Linked DNA regions of Coturnix japonica. The protein of the gene in region 1 purifies or fractionates together with the protein of each later gene. This does not show direct contact. Links are inferred from orthologs where the notes say so. Each region holds a gene or a part of one and is shown in the gene's direction. Other genes may lie near its edges. The genes, in order: UBR5, DYRK2, ATMIN and SOX2.

The links.
Region 2: the proteins of UBR5 (region 1) and DYRK2 purify together in Homo sapiens (affinity purification with western blotting; 3 studies listed by BioGRID and IntAct, with this or other methods). This does not show direct contact. The link is inferred for Coturnix japonica from reciprocal best matches to the Homo sapiens genes UBR5 and DYRK2.
Region 3: the proteins of UBR5 (region 1) and ATMIN purify together in Homo sapiens (affinity purification with western blotting; 3 studies listed by BioGRID). This does not show direct contact. The link is inferred for Coturnix japonica from reciprocal best matches to the Homo sapiens genes UBR5 and ATMIN.
Region 4: the proteins of UBR5 (region 1) and SOX2 purify together in Homo sapiens (affinity purification with western blotting; 3 studies listed by BioGRID and IntAct, with this or other methods). This does not show direct contact. The link is inferred for Coturnix japonica from reciprocal best matches to the Homo sapiens genes UBR5 and SOX2.

Annotation. Positions count from the first base shown.
Region 1 is NC_029517.1:117,629,336-117,633,636, forward strand, and holds the start of UBR5 (E3 ubiquitin-protein ligase UBR5), read left to right. Parts: upstream 1-1,477; 5' UTR 1,478-1,492; coding exon 1,493-1,614; intron 1,615-4,301. UniProt on the Homo sapiens protein: E3 ubiquitin-protein ligase involved in different protein quality control pathways in the cytoplasm and nucleus. Mainly acts as a ubiquitin chain elongator that extends pre-ubiquitinated substrates.
Region 2 is NC_029516.1:31,679,860-31,683,989, forward strand, and holds the start of DYRK2 (dual specificity tyrosine-phosphorylation-regulated kinase 2), read left to right. Parts: upstream 1-1,314; 5' UTR 1,315-1,432; coding exon 1,433-1,487; intron 1,488-1,688; coding exon 1,689-1,825; intron 1,826-1,923; exon of another isoform or gene 1,924-2,329; intron 2,330-4,130. UniProt on the Homo sapiens protein: Serine/threonine-protein kinase involved in the regulation of the mitotic cell cycle, cell proliferation, apoptosis, organization of the cytoskeleton and neurite outgrowth. Functions in part via its role in ubiquitin-dependent proteasomal protein degradation.
Region 3 is NC_029526.1:13,622,683-13,626,243, forward strand, and holds part of ATMIN (ATM interactor), read left to right. Parts: coding exon 1-991; 3' UTR 992-3,561. UniProt on the Homo sapiens protein: Transcription factor. Plays a crucial role in cell survival and RAD51 foci formation in response to methylating DNA damage. Involved in regulating the activity of ATM in the absence of DNA damage. May play a role in stabilizing ATM.
Region 4 is NC_029524.1:14,829,373-14,833,447, reverse strand, and holds SOX2 (transcription factor SOX-2), read left to right. Parts: upstream 1-1,268; 5' UTR 1,269-1,976; coding exon 1,977-3,191; 3' UTR 3,192-3,832; downstream 3,833-4,075. UniProt on the Homo sapiens protein: Transcription factor that forms a trimeric complex with OCT4 on DNA and controls the expression of a number of genes involved in embryonic development such as YES1, FGF4, UTF1 and ZFP206. Binds to the proximal enhancer region of NANOG.

The DNA of each region.
Region 1 (4,301 bases):
GTGAAGGGCGGAAGGAATAGACTAATTGAAAGTAATTGAAATCTCACCCTTATATCCAGCCCTTCATAGAACTCCATTGAACAAGTCGTGTTATTTGGAAATGTCAGTGCTTCGGAAACTAGGTTTTAATCCTGGGAGCAAACATAAATTAACTGTATCTTCCCAAGTTCTACTAAATATAGTAGAAACATCCCCAAGGATGCAGGGACCACAGTCTGGTGCGGGTTGGAAGGGACCTTAGAGATCATCGAGTCCAACCCCCGGGATTCGAGCCTCTGTGTAGCAGAGCGGCACTTCTACCACTTGCGCCACAGGGGGATTCGAACCCAGGGCCTCAGGTGTTGCAACGCGGCATTGCTACCACTGCGCCACCGGGGCACACAACTTACACGTATCCTTCCAGCACCACAGACACCCGAGAGCGGACGTACGGGGAAATAGAGCAGGAGACCCCGGACCCGGCCGTGGATTCACCCGCGTCCTGCGCACCAGGCGGCTGCGGAGGGATGGGGGAGGGATGGGGGACGCAGGGGGAGGGGCGGAGCGGGGCTCCCTGAGGCGCGGGCCGGGCCTTTCATCGCCCCCCCTCACGTGATCTACTACGTCCCTCGCGCATGACGTCACCGCGCACGGCGCGAGGCTCGCACCTATCGGCGGCGGTTTTAGTGGAACGGCCCCGCCCGGCAGCGCGCCCGCCAATCGGCGCGAGCCTTGCAGCGTGGCGACGCGGCGCGGCCCCGCCCCGCCCGGCTCGGCGCACGGAGGGAGGGAGAAGGGCCCGCTGGAAGTTAAGATGGCGGCGCGTGTGTGAGCGCGGTGTGGGACCAGCCTCTTTCCGGCGGCGCCGTAGCTCGGCCGGCCCCTCCTTCGAGTCCTGCGCGTCTCCCAGCGAGCCCAGCGCTCCGCCGACGGCCTCGAGCGACCCCGGGGGAGGGCAGGAGGCCGAGCGCCCCCCTCCCCCCCGCCCCCATTGTGTGCCCGGCCCCCGCCCGCCCGCCTCCCTCCCTCCCGCCGCCGGGGGGGGCGGCGGCGGCGGCGCCGACCATGACCTCGATCCACTTCGTGGTGCACCCGCTGCCGGGCACCGAGGATCAGCTCAATGACCGGTGAGGGGCAGGCCCCGCGCGGCGGGGGGCGGAGGGGAGGGGCCGCCGGCGCGGCTCGGCCCCCGGCGGGGCGGGGGAGGGACCGGGGAGCTCCGGGCGGCGCCGAGGGATCCCCCGTCCCTACGTGCTGCCGCCCCGCTGCCGTCCCGTGGGGGCTCGGAACCCCCGTGTCTGCGCAGCCTGGGCCCCAAAGTTTGCCCCCCCCTGCTCCCCAGAGGAGCTCCGGGCTACTGGGGGGGCGGGGGAGCGCCATGCGGGGTGGGCAGAGGGGTGTATGGGGATCGCTGTGCTGTGCTCCGCTGTGCTCTGCTGTGCTCCGCTGCTCCTCGCTGCCTGCCGGGCCGTGCGCCTGCTGAGCTGATAAAGGCACGGCCCGTCTCCTCCTGATGGCCGCTGCGACGATCGGCCCGGAGACCTCGTGGGCAACTTTATCTGTCGCTGCGGATGGGGGGAAAGCGGAGCGCTCGGGAGAAAATACATCTTGGAAGCGAGTTCTTCTGCCTGATTGGTGCGGGTTTGACAGCGTTCTGTGTTGCAGCCCGGTGTTTTCCTGCAGTAATCGCGATCAGCCTGCATGGTAGTTTGTAAATGCCACTGCTGCCCTTATCTCGGCATTCTTAAGAACGTGTAGGTCTTAATCTTTGTTTCTCAGGGATATATGTGCGAATAACTTAGGATTTTTAATCGTCTCTGTATAGAGACTGACTTTTTTATTTTTTTTTTACACTGCTGAAAAACGTTACTTGTTTTTTATAGTATCTTCCTGATATTTATAATTTCTGGAAGTGTTGGCTCTTAGTAACGTTCCTCTGGTTTCTCATCTCACCAGGCTGCAGGGTAGGTCGGGGTCCAGCTAACTTTGCTGCTGTTGGCACTTTGCATTAGGAGAAGCGAGGAATCTCTGCTGAGACATCTCTGTTAATGCACAGCTGAGGTCCCAGAGCTCATGGCAAGGAAAATAGGTCAGCATAGAGATAAAACTTCTGCCAAACTGCATCATCCCTGCCCTTTCAGAGGGAGAGGAAACTTGTGTTGATAAAATGGGACCTGGACTTGCAACGTGTTGATGTGATGTGTCTATTCCTTAACCTGCTGATGCGTTTTGCAGGACCTGACCCTAAGGAGGCCTGCCCACTTGTAAGGGGGTTTCTTGGCTGCCTGCTGGATCACACAGAGTCACAGAATGACCCGGGTTGGAAGGGACCGCAAGGATCATGTAGTTCCAACCCCCCTGCCTGGCAGGGCCACCAAACATACACCTTTACTAGATCAGGTTGCCCAGGGCCCCGTCCAACCTGGTCTTGAATACCTCCAAGGATGGGGCATCCACAACCTCCCTGGGCAGCCTGTTCCAGGGCCTAACCACTCTCCTAGTGAAGAATGTGGATGCCACACAGCTCTGGCATGTGGCCCTCTCCCTTAGAGTGACAGACAGGTGATGCTGTGCTAGGAGTTCTCTTTCCTCCTTGGGCTGTTTTGACTTAGGGCGGTGATTGAGGACTTTAAACCTGAAAGAACCCCAGTGGTTTTCCCATATCTTTTATTTTTTAATGTCGATAGACCCTTCAGAAAATATTTAGCATGTAATTATGATGCCTTGGTTGGAGTGAGAGAGCTTGTCATTTTTTTCTTTAATGTCATGTATTGTATTGACTTACCATTTAAAATGGTGGCCCTGAATTCTTCATAATGCTTCCCAGGTTATTTATTGTTTCTACTCTGTACTGCTGCAGCAGCACTTATGACTTCTGCTTGAGTACAGGAAGCTTCATCAGGTGTGGTAATTAATAGATGGCAAAGGCAGCAGAAGTGCCCTGAAGTGTCTTGTTCTGAAAAAAAATCAGGTAGCTCTTGATCTGAGCTGCAAGGCAAACATTTCCATTTTGTAAGTGGGATTTGACAACAAGTGCGGTGGCTGTGCATCAGAACTTGTAGTGTGGTGAAGCTGCAGTGATTAACAGATAGGGTGCTGGAAATACCAGGTCAGTGTTATTGGTAGCTGTTCTGTCCTTATAGGTAACGATCAAGAGGGCTTAGTGAGTTTTCATATTTATGCAGGTAGCATTTAGGATCTTGGAACTTATTTCTGTATGGTGGGATGCCATACAGAACAGGACACAGGGAAATGGTTTTAAGTTGAAAGAGGGAAGATTTAGGTTGGATGTTAGGGGGAAGTTCTTCACTAGGAGAGTGGTTAGGCCCTGGAACAGGCTGCCCAGGGAGATTGTGGATGCCCCGTCCTTGGAGGTGTTCAAGACCAGGTTGGACGGGGCCCTGGGCAACCTGATGTAGTAAATGTGTATGTTTGGTGGCCCTGCCAGGCAGGGGTTTGGAACTACATGATCCTTGAGGTCCCTTCCAACCCGGGTCATTCTGTGATTCTGTGTGATTCTGTGTTCCTTTCATGGATGCAGTAATCACGTTTCAAACCTGTGATCTTGATGTGTTCAGGATACCTGATGGCTTTCGGTATTTTATAAGAACGTATTTGATAACACTATGCTTAATCATGTGTAGATATGGCAAGTGGGTGAATTGAATTTGGAAGGCATGGTTCTGTTGAAGTATTGTTCTGCTCTTGGGCTGTCTGCACAACATGAGGTGGCAGTTCTCTTCAGCTTGGGTTGGTGCAGTTTGTGTCATTTCTGTCCTGCAGCTTTTACTCATTTTCTGTGTAATTATTTGTGCCTCTTGCTCGTACAGCAACTTGGAGAACGGGGAAACGCTTTGCAGCAAAAAAAGTAACGTTAGAACTCTACAATTTGGCTGATGGCACAAGTGTAATGGGACAGTGCTCCTTAATGAGCATTGTTGGGAATGGTTCGCATTGCGCCTTGATGGCACTCATTAGACCTCTCTCTGCTTCCAACATTTGCTCGTTTGTGGTGCTCATTCAGATGTCCAGAAACAAACTAGCTGCACTGGAGGAGGCCCATAGAGTACACTGTTAGCTTTGCTTCTGGAGCTGTTAGGATTCATTCATTTGAAATAAGTGACAGGCTGCACTTGGGTTTTGGATGAGGTAGTTAAGCCTTTTATGGTGGGTTTATTGGGGAAGATGGGCAACCTCAGGTTTCATCCCCTTCCTCCCCCCCATTCCTCCCTCCCCCCGCACCCCGTTAGCAATGTGTTCTATTTGAACTGAATATGAAAGTTTTAAGGTGAGAAAAATCAGGATGACCCGCAGATTAAGAA
Region 2 (4,130 bases), on another chromosome or scaffold:
CCTGAATGTGGAAGGTATCTCCCAATGAACACTGATGGTGCAAGTTCTTTAGTTTCAATGTGGATGTGTTTGTGGAAACAATGGGAAAACACCAAGAGACACCAGAAAACAGCATTTATAGCCCTGGTAGTGAAGGGATGGGAAATGTGCGGTGTCTGGGTACATCTGGGGGTTATAGAGGGGCACAAAGCTGCAGGGAAGGGAAAAGGTTGGGTGGGTGCAGGCTGGAAAAGGTAGGATTGTTTTCTCTCTGCAACAGGAGGGACTGAGGAAAGTGTTTATTTCTTTGTACCAGCACAGGAAATGTCTTTGTTTACACATTTATCTGTGGCACTGGAAAAGGCCAAGTCTTCCTCTCCAGCTGCAGGGATGGAGTTCTTTTTTTCTCAGGAAAGGGAAGATTTATTTGTCTGCCTTTCTCTGCGGCAGGGAATGAAGGGAGGTCTGCCTGTGGCAGGGGATGAAGGGAGCTCTGCTTGCAACCCCACTGGCTGCTTCAGAAGGGAAAATACACGCGATCCGTACACATTTCCAAGCGGGTTGAGCGTAGGCAGGAGAGTTCATTTCGACGCCGTCCCGGGCTGAGCAAATGTTCAGCTATCTATTTTTGGCTCTCGTGACGTTCAAGCTGACAAACCAGGAATTCAAAGCATTGTACTCGGCGAGGCACACGGCAGAGCAGGGCCCATAACTGCCCCCACCGCGCTCCCTCCCTCTGCATGGAGGCACGGGCCGCTCCGGCCCGACTCTCGAAGCTCTCCCAAGGCACCGCCATGTTGAAGTTTCCATCCCCTCGCACCGACCCTCCCACAGCCAGCGGTGCCACCGTCGTCCTCCCGCGGTGGCGGTGACCCCCTGAGGGCAGGCCCCAACATGGCTGTGACCTGGGGGTGACCAACGGCTCATCCCTTCCCCCTTCACCCCCGCTGGAGGCCGTTGGGCGGTTGCCGGGCGGCAGCGGGGAGCGGAGCGAGGCGAAGTGCGGGCGGGCGCGGGGAGCGCACGGGGACGCGGGGAGGAGCGGAGCGAGGGGAGGCGGCCGGCGGGGCGGGCACTGCCCTTCGGTGCGCTGTTTGTTCTCGTTCCGCCGCCCGAGGAGGAGGGCCCTGTCCGGCCGCCTTCTGCTGCCCCCCTCCCTCCTCCGAGCGAGGGGACCGGGGCGACCGGGGCGGGGGCGGGGGAGGTGATGAGCTTGGGCCGGGGGCTGCGGCGGCGGCGCGGCTGCTGCTGCTGCGGCTGCGGCGGGAGGAGACGGCGGGCCGAAGGAGGCTGTGTCCGGCCGGCCCGGGGCCGGGGGGATGCGGCGGAGGACGCGTCGGGCGCTGGGTGTAGCTGATCGGCGAGGAGAGGCAGCCGCCGCCCAGAGAGGCCGAGGAGAAGCGGAGGAGAGCCGCCCTGACATGCATTTTCCTCTCCCTCCTCTCCAGCGGCCATGTTAACCAAGAAACCCTCAGCGAGCGCCGCCGCCGGCGCTGCCTACCCGGCCGGTAAGGAGCGGGCCGGGCGCCGCGGGGTCGGAACAATGCTGCGGACCAGGGGGGAGAACCGGGGGGAAGGGGGGGGTTCCGGCCGTCGGTGCGAGCGCGGGGCCGCGGCGGCCATCGGCTTCCGATGGCTTCTGCCCGAAGCGGGACGGGGCGGCTCGGGGCCGCCGCTGCCCTCCGCGCTCACCCCTCTGCTCTCCGCAGGCAGGGCAGGGGACAGCGGCCGTCCGCTGCAGTCTTCCCCGGGTGCAGGAGCCGGGGTCTCCCGGGCAGGAGCTGGGACCGGCCCACCGTCGCCCCTCGCATTGCCGCCGCTCAGGGCCAGCAACGCCTCCCACACGGTGAGCACGGGCATGGGAGGGGGTCGGGAGGGTGGTGGTGGTGGTGATGGTGGTGGTGGTGGTGATGGTGGTGGGGGGGTCCACGGAGCGCCGCCGCCTGTCCCGCCCCGCGGGGCGCTCGGGGCCGGTTCTGCAAACTCGGAGCGGAGGAGAGTGTGGGTTCCAGGGCTGGCAGGCTGGAACCGAGCTGCAGAGCGGCTCCCCCTTCCTGCAGCCCCCCTTCGCTCCGCTTTACGTGTCGTTGTCGGTAACAAATTAGATCTTGTGCACAGACAGCGAGGAGCTGTTCTGGTAAACGGGTAAACGCCTTTTTGGGGATGACATTTTGGCAGTGAGGTTAGTCGCTGTGATTAAAGGGTCGCGTGAGCCATGGCGAGGAATGAAGGCTGCTCTCCTATGTCTCTGATTAGCTCAGGCCGATAGCCGTCTTCCCTTGGAAACAGCTGTCGTTGTACTCCAGGGCGACGATTGGATGGATCTGACTTTATTGCTGCGGTGGTTTACCTAAAGAAATAAGCACCGATGCTATGAAAAGGATGTTATTTTCCGGTTCTGTGATATCTCACATTATCTCCCTCTCCCAGTTAATCTACCAGGAATGGAACTTCCCAAGTATGCCACTATATATGGATGAGAGAGGGTATCTCTGTCCTGAAGGCATGACGGGGTAGAGGGAGATGGGGCTGTGTGCCGTCGTGTTAACGCAAAATATCTGACATATTTCTTGCATACATTTCCTTTTAAATGATGAAAAAACTCGTACTGACCCTGAAAGGCATTGATGGCATACTTGGCTTAGAATTAATGAGTTCTCCACGGATGCTCACGTACTATCTTCATAAACATATGGCAGAGCTTTAAACAGTAATGTGATTATGGGCTAGTGGAAGGTGAAACTATGCATTTAGACATTAGCGTTTCGGTGACTTTCTGTATAGCTTCAGGGGTAAAAGCGTCTTATTCAAATCCAGTTATAGAAAGAATTGGCTTAAATGTAATAAATAAATAAATAAGTGCAAGTTTATGTAGGGTGTTTTCAAGAGGAATGATGAATATTCTGCAAATGTGAGGTGGAGCTGCATACTTGAGGTCAACATCGCTGTGTCTCTATGTAGCCAGGATGTATATCTGAATCGTTGGGTACTGCCAAAGGTAGGTTTTTGCACGTTTGCATTCCAGTTAAGTGCTGGTTGATTTGAGAAGTGAGAAAGTGGTCTACGTATTTCTTTTAAGCCAGAAAATAATCATTGTACCGATGGCCTGGGCATGGGTTGTGAAAATACACATCCAGAGATGGGCCCCACTAATAGCAGGGGCTGATGTGTAACAGAGCCCAGACTTAATTTAGAATCTGTGAAAGCCCAGTGGTCCAGTCGTCTGTCTGGGATTGCTGACTAATTTTGGTAGCATGGAACTGTGGTATTTTTATAGATACGCTTGTGTGTGTACGATATATCTATCTACATACACTATATATATATGTGTATAAAGATGAAGTCTTTATGAAAGCTTGCAAGGAGTATTTGAGTATTGCATTTCTGCTTCCAGTATATTTGTAGATGTATCGTCATGCATGTACACATGTTATCTATAGCATATATATGCCGATAGATAGATACGTACATATAGACAGAAAGCCTATGGAAGCATTGAAGGATGATCAAGCATTATACTGCTGTGTTTCAAGTCTCTCTGGGTTCTGACTGCTGCAGACTCTGCTGTGCCTTTGTGACACAGATACTACTCCTCGGTCTTTATTTTACCTTGAGTGCTATTACAGAAATACCTCCGACAGGCTCTGAATTTTTTAGGGCATTATTTTGTGGTTGCCTAACAGAACTTTTTGTGGTAAGGATCAGATGTGACATCAGGATGCTGGATTTTAACCTAAAACAATGGTTATGTGTGGTATGGGAGCGTTCTATAAACTTCAGGCCTGCTGACCTCAGCTGACACTGACTGAAACTATTGGTTTCATCCACTACTTCCTCAAATGAAATGTATTTAAAAATAAACGTTTCAGTTTTCTTAAACCATTTTCTTCCTCTGTATTCATTTGCTTAATCAACCCTGTTGTGCCTGTGTGACTTCTCCAGCAGCTAAAAAATGAAATGAATATTTCTCTTTGGTGTTGCAGACTTTCAGAAGGCGTAGCTTACATAGGCAGCGTATACACATGTGCATTGTGTATACACTGATTGTGAAGGGACACCATGGTGGAAATATTAAGCCAAAAAGTTCTTCTTCTAGTCCAGCTGGAGAAATGCACTACTTGTCATATTTCTTGCAGCAGCTGTATAATCCA
Region 3 (3,561 bases), on another chromosome or scaffold:
TGGACGAGCACAAATGGACCAGGCTGTAATGTGCAGTGACATCTTTGAAAATGTTCATTCGTCATTTAATGTTGCTACTCAAATTGAACTTCCAGAAAATAACTTAATGACTACAAACATAGATCAAACCTTGCTGCAAAGGAGTAATTGCAAGAGCCTCAATCAAGACACAGTGAAGTCTGAATCTCTTATTGGCTTCAGTACCCAGGCTAATATACTTCCACCTCAAAATACAATGGATAATCAAACCCAGACAATGGACTTGCTAAGTGATCTGGAAAATATCTTTTCAGGAAACATGTCTGGCCAGACACTGGATAATCGTGGCCTTTTGTCTGAGACTAGTTCTAATGCTGACACGCATCTGCCATCTGGTTCATCACAGAGCACTGGAATAGACTTTGACATTGAAGAGTTCTTTTCAGCATCCAATATCCAAACTCAGACTGAAGAGAGTGAGCTTGGTACCCTGCCCTCTGAGCCAGTTTTGGAGTCACTGGACATCGAAACTCAAACTGATTTCTTATTTTCAGATAGTGCCACTCAATCATATAGCTGCAGAGGAAATTCTAACTTCTTAGGCTTGGAGATGTTTGATACGCAGACGCAGACAGACTTGAATTTCTTTTTGGACAGCAATACCCATCTGCCTTTAGGGAGTATTCTGAAGCAGTCTAGTTTCTCCATGAGCACTGACTCATCAGATACAGAAACCCAGACAGAAGTATATCCTGCCACTAAAAACGTACCTAATCAGAACATAGAAAGCAAAGTCCAGCTCAGTAGTGCTGAAACACAGACTATGGATAGCTGCTTTGAGAATCTTGGGAATTTATTCCTTACCAGCAACGAGACGCAGACAGCAATGGATGACTTTCTTCTAGCTGACTTAGCCTGGAATACAATGGAGTCCCAGTTCAGTTCAGTAGAAACACAGACCTGTGAAGAGCTGTGCTCCTTGTTTCAGAGCTCTGACAAGCCCAGTCATTGAGTGCTGTGCAACAGAACTGTTTCCTGTGGTTTGAAATTAAGTTATTGGGGTGGGAGAGATGCATCGACCAAGTAACCCATTTCACATTGTTGAATGTAGTTATTGTGTGCGGTTGGCCTAAAAGACTTTTCATGCTGAAGGTACTTCACTGAAAATGTAACTTCAATATAAGTTATATGTGCATAAGGGGGGGGTTGGGAGGGGGACAAAACATGTTAATGTACATTTGAACCTTAAAAAAACAGTTTGTGGTGCCTATGTTTTTTGCTCAATCTTCTTTACAAACTGCTTCATTTAAACCGAAGAACCTTTTGAAAGTGTCCCATGTATATCTCCATGTATATCTATTTCTGGCTTATGTATAGGGTTCCACTGTGCTAGACCAAAACCTGCCCTGTCCAATTCAGATGCTTCCCTGAATTCTCTTAGTGTAAGCTACTTCTGTTGATGTTTTTTAGGAGCTTAGTGTCTGGTATGAACATAATAAGCCGTATTGTTTTTTCCTTTATGCCTTCACAGCTCTTTCTCCTGTTTAAGTTGCAGTGTTCTGAACACCCGTCCAACAGCCATAGATACATGTAGACTTGAATTATGGAATACCAATGATCTGCAAAATATGTAGAAAGCAGTAGCTGTTCTTCCCAGATGCTACTAATGCCCATTGAAGGGTAGAAAAAGAGCTTAGAATGCATAATCACTTGGAAAATTGTTATGATGTCCTTTTAGCTCGTGTCATAAATGGGACTAAAGTAATTTAAACTCTTTGAAGGGATTTGCTTGAATTATTTCTTACTGTAAGACACAAATGTTACGATGTTTGTGCCTCAAAAACTGGAATAGTTTGTTTTCTCTGAAATCCCCCTAGTTTCCACAAAGATGTAAGTTGGGAAATGTCACAATGGTTTATATTTCCACTACCTTAACAAAAACCATCAAAGTTGAGAAACTGAATTCTTTACCTATACTTGGATTTCAGCTTCCAGAACTGATGCAAACTCAACTGCATACAACAAGGCCGGAAGATGTGCTCACAAAAACCCTTTCAGAAAAGATGTATTTTGCTTTTGCACATTGATCTGCAGCAGGTGCTTCCTGCAGCTTTTGGAAAGTTTTCTGAGTTGTAATCAAAAACTGGGACTGATCTGTCAAAGACAAACATGTGACCTCTTGGATTTCTGTATGTTTATTTTACCCTTCGTATTGTGCTTGTAGCAGATGTATTGACATGGAAGAATACAAAGCCGGTTGTGAATGTATGCTGGAATTTGGCCTTAACTGATTCTTATCTTGTTGTAGTGCCTGCAGAAATGTAGGCCTCTGGTTTTGTCCTGGACAGGTTTTAGTTTCTATTACGTTAACTGAAAAATGAAACATCTTTATGTCATATTCCCGGGCTTTACTCCTCTGCTGTTGGATGTACTGGTTATGTGTTTACTAGGCGTCCCACCAGTAACAGATGTCTCAGCTGTAGTTTTCAAAGACTTGCTATGCTTTGTGCACAGCTTCATATCCTCAGCTCGAGGATATGGGAGTGCAGTTACTCACCCAACACAACTAGCTTGTTGTCTTGAAAATGAGCAATACCTTTTGATTTTATTATCTCATCTCACCCCTCTTTAAATTGCCATACTTAATTCAACACAGTATCTGATAGGTATCAGAATCCTACGCTGGTGCCCTGTGTCTTTCAGTTTGGATATATTAAATGTTTTTCTGCAAACGCAAAGGCTGCAATCAGGCTGTTTATAGTTGCTGGATCCCACAGGAAAGCTACTGAAACCTGGTCCGAAATATCATGAGTCAATATTACTTATTCTTAAAAGTGAAACAATTTACTTTAAATGGGTAATTGACTATTTTGAGCATTGTTTTCAAAATAAACTTCTCTGAGAGCTATTTCTTGGTAGTACTAAAATGATACTTATCTCCCTTTTTCTGCAGTTTGTCTCTGATTTGATTTTCAAGGCACTGACTCTGTTGTAAGTATTGGTCAGTAGTGACTTACTGTTTTGTTAATTCTCTCCTCTGTGTCCTCCGCTGCCATTTGAGCCGCTATATGAGAAGTAACATCAGGTTGTCCACAACCTCATAGCACAAACTTTTATCTGGAAGTGATACTAATATTACTTGTGCTTTCTCTTTGCTTTTCCTGCTTCATTAAGTTACGCTGCCATTGCTAGCTCTTGATCTGGAAGTCTGTAAATATTATTCTAAAACTCAATTAGTAGTTTAATTAGTCTGATTAGTGGTAGACTTGTGCATTTCCTTCGTATTGTCAAAATACAGAATACAAATATTATCCCCCATTGGATGTTATTGTGCATGGGTGGGCAAAGCTGAGTAGTGTACTTGAAACTTTTGGCTTCTGAGAGAACACTGTTAGAAAAGTGAACTGTGTTCCATTTTCAAGGTATGTGAAAATTTTAACAAGGGAAACAAGTAAATGTAGGACACACGTTCTGTGAGAAGCACAAAACAGCCCTCAAAAAAAAGAGAAAAAAAAAATAGAGTTCTGTCTTACATCATGTCTTGTTGCCTTCTATGTGTGTTTGTATGACAATAGATGGAGT
Region 4 (4,075 bases), on another chromosome or scaffold:
TACCGCCCCATAACGCAGTTGTTGGGCAATTCCCATCCTTTATGGGTGCGATAAACGCAGTGAGGAAGGGGCCCGGCCCCGCGCGGAGCCGCGCTCCGGTATCCGTTTGTTACACCACCACCGCCCGCTCCTGCCCGCTTTTCAAACTTCATTATCCCCAAAGCTGTAATATTATCGTTATGATTTGGAACGTTGTTATCAACCGCAGCCCCGTGCACGACCAATAAAAGCTGTCGGCGCGGGGGCAGTCGGGCCGCGCAAAAATCGCGCATCACCCGGTGCGCGCATCCCGCAACGCGCGCCCATTTTCCGACGCTTTCAACCCGTCTCTTCTCTCCAGGTTATATATATATATATATAAATACACCTTCGAATTACACGCGTTAAAGCCGATCACATTTATTTGCATAATCCAGAGATGCACCCTCTCCCGCCGCACTTTTTCTACGCGTTACCAGGACGGGGGAGGGCGGGGGGGGGGCACGGCCGCTCCCTTCCCCCCACTCCATCTCCCGCTGCTCCGCACGGTGCCGGCAGGGGGAGCCGCAGTGCCGCGGCTGAGCCCTCGCGGGGCGCCCGGGCGCTGCCCCGGCCCCAACCCGGCCCTGCTTGGGGCCGCGCTTCTCGGGGGGCCCTTCTCGGGGGGCCTCGGCGCTGCCGGGGAGCGCGGCCGCGGGCAGAACAGCGCCGTCGGGGCGCGGCAGTGCGCGTAGAGTGGGGCTGGTTAGAGCCCCCCCCCCCCCTTCCGCCCCCCTTTCTCTCCCCTCCTTCCTTTGTCGTCAAGTGCGTTTTAGCAACAAAGATCCCAACAAGAGAGTGGAAGTAAACTTAGCCGGGGCTTTGTGCAGCCCCGTGTAGCGACAACAAGAGAAACAAAACTACCTATTTGTCCTACGGGCCGCCCCCCCGCCCGGCGCGCCCACCCAGCATCGCACACGGGACGCGTCCCGGGGCTGCAGGCCGCGCACCGCGTTGTGCCGGGAGGGCCGTCGGGGGTTCTCCGCTCCTGCTTCCAGCGGGCACCCCACGATGGAAGGAGGGAGAGAGAAGGGCACGGCCGGCCCCGTTCTGCTCGGGGCCCGCTCGGCTCCTGTCGGCGGGGCAGCCCCGGGGCGGGGGCTCCGCTCCCCACGGACGGGGCGAGCGCTGCACACGCAGCCGGACGGCTCAGGGGACACCGCAACGGGGCGGGGGGTGGAGGGGAAACCATTCCTCCATTCCTGCTCCCCTTATGGCTTCTTCCAACATCGACTTAAAAAAAAAGAAAAAAAAAAGCAACGTAGCAACAATGCTGTTTACCCACTTCCTCCAAAAGGCGTGTGTGACCTGTTGCTGGAAGGGGAGATACAAAGGCTTCCCAGTGGCTGCCTGGGCCGGCCCTGGGCCCGCCCCCCCCCGCCGCGCCGTCCCGGCGGCTGAGAGCCCCCGCCCCGTTTCATGCAAAACCAGGGGTAGAGACTTGTCCTCAGTGGCGGAGCCGCCGAGCGCTGATTGGCCGGGGCGAACGCATTTATTCCCTGACAAGCCCCCATCACATGGATGGTTGTCTATTAACTTGTTCAAAAAAGTATCAGGAGTTGTCAAGGCAGAGAGAGAGAGTGTGTGTGTTTGCAAAAGGGGGTAAAGTAGTTTGCTGGCTCTTTAAGACCGAGGTGGAGAGAGAGAGAGAGAGGGAGAGAGAGAGGGCGGCAGGCAGAGAAAAGGGAAAAAGGAGGAAGAAGTTTTTTAAATCCGAGGCTCCGGCGGTAATAATAGCAGTTATTAGCATTATTAATCCATCAGCGAAGAGGAAGATTCTGATCTCGATCCAAGTGTGGTTTTGGGGAGTCCCCCTCCCCCCCTTCATACCCCTCCCTAGGAAAAAAAAAAAAAAAAAAAAAAGAGAGAGAGAAAAAAAAAGAAGTCCGGCTCGGGACTTGGGCGCCGCTCCGCTCCGCTTCTCCGCTCCGGGCTGGTTCCAGGCAAAAGTAGTTTGAATGTACAACATGATGGAAACCGAGCTGAAACCTCCCGCCCCCCAGCAAACTTCGGGGGGAGGCACAGGCAACTCCAACTCGGCCGCGAACAACCAGAAGAACAGCCCGGACCGCGTCAAGCGCCCCATGAACGCCTTCATGGTGTGGTCGAGGGGGCAGCGGCGGAAGATGGCCCAGGAGAACCCCAAGATGCACAACTCGGAGATCAGCAAACGGCTCGGGGCCGAGTGGAAGCTGCTGTCCGAGGCGGAGAAGCGGCCCTTCATCGACGAGGCCAAGCGGCTGCGGGCCCTGCACATGAAGGAGCACCCGGATTATAAATACCGGCCCCGGCGGAAAACCAAGACCCTGATGAAGAAGGATAAGTACACGTTGCCAGGGGGCTTACTGGCGCCGGGCACCAATACCATGACGACCGGGGTAGGGGTTGGGGCCACCTTGGGAGCTGGGGTGAACCAGAGGATGGACAGTTACGCGCACATGAACGGCTGGACCAACGGAGGCTATGGGATGATGCAAGAGCAGCTCGGCTACCCGCAGCACCCGGGCTTGAACGCGCACAACGCGGCGCAGATGCAGCCCATGCACCGCTACGACGTGAGCGCCCTGCAGTACAACTCCATGACCAGCTCGCAGACGTACATGAACGGATCGCCTACCTACAGCATGTCGTACTCCCAGCAAGGGACCCCGGGCATGGCCCTGGGCTCCATGGGCTCGGTGGTCAAGACGGAATCCAGCTCCAGTCCCCCCGTAGTCACCTCCTCGTCTCATTCGAGGGCTCCTTGCCAAGCCGGGGACCTTCGGGACATGATCAGCATGTATCTACCAGGTGCTGAAGTACCAGAACCAGCTGCCCCAAGCAGACTTCATATGTCCCAACACTACCAGAGTGCACCTGTTCCTGGCACAGCCATTAATGGCACACTCCCTTCTACTCAAATGTATGTAAGACAAAGGGGCCGGGGGGGCGGGGTGGGGGTGGGGGGGGAAGGAGAACTAAACAAAACAAACAAACAACAACAACAACAAAAAACTTTTATTAGAAATTCTGGACTTTTTGTTTTGTTTTGTTTTGTTTTTGTTGGTTTTTGTTTTTTGGTGGTTTTTTTTTGGACTATTTTTGTACAGAGAAAACTCTGGGGGGGAAGGGGAGGGGGTGGGGGGGGGGCAGGGAGGGGGTCAGAAATAAAGCCGACAAAGGAACTTGTATAGAGCTCGGAGGGGAAGCGACTACACAAAACTTTTTTAAAGTTCTAGTGAGAACGGTAGGAACTTTGCAGGAAAAGTTTGCAAAAGTCTTCACCGGTAATATTTAGAGCTTAGACTCCAAGAGCGGAGAGGAGAACGTTTGAATATTTGCAGGCAACTTTTGTACAGTATTTATCAAACTCCACATGGCAATCAGAATGTCCATCGCTCATAGGGAGAGGGGAGAAATCAAAGCCGAGAATTCGCGAGTGATTTTTTGACCACACAGACTCTCCGTGGAGCACCGTGGCCGTGGCAGCTCTGCTGACGGCAGCTGCGGGAGGAGAGGGAATTATTTTGCAGCATTTGGACGTTGAAAATTGGTTTGGAAATTGTACAAAAGGCAAAAGCGGTAGGAGGAAGACTGGCGAGCCGTGGGCTTGGTTTGCTGGGAGAGGGCAAACGTTTCGATGTACGACGTTTTGCTTTTATTTTCTTTTTTACTTCTGGTTAAAAAGCAAGAAAAAAAAACAAAACAAAAGGCCATGAAGGTTCACACGCCGTTTGTTAATTTATAATAACTTTTTTGTTTCCAGACTTCATCCCGTTCAAAGAGAAGGAAAAAAACAAACAAACAATCCCCCCCCCCCCAACCCCAACCTGAACTTACTGTGTTTGAAATATTTTCTTATGGTTTGTAATATTTCTGTACATTTATTGTGATGATATTTTAAGTTCCTTTTTTTTTTTTTTTTTTTTTTTTTTTTTTCCTCTCAACATATATTAGTAATTGAACAAAATTATTTAGGCTAACCATACCTCTTCAGGACATAAGAACACTGGCAGAGTAACATGAAGCCTTCTTTCATAACTTTTTTTTTTTTTTTTTTTTTTTTTTTTTCCTCCTC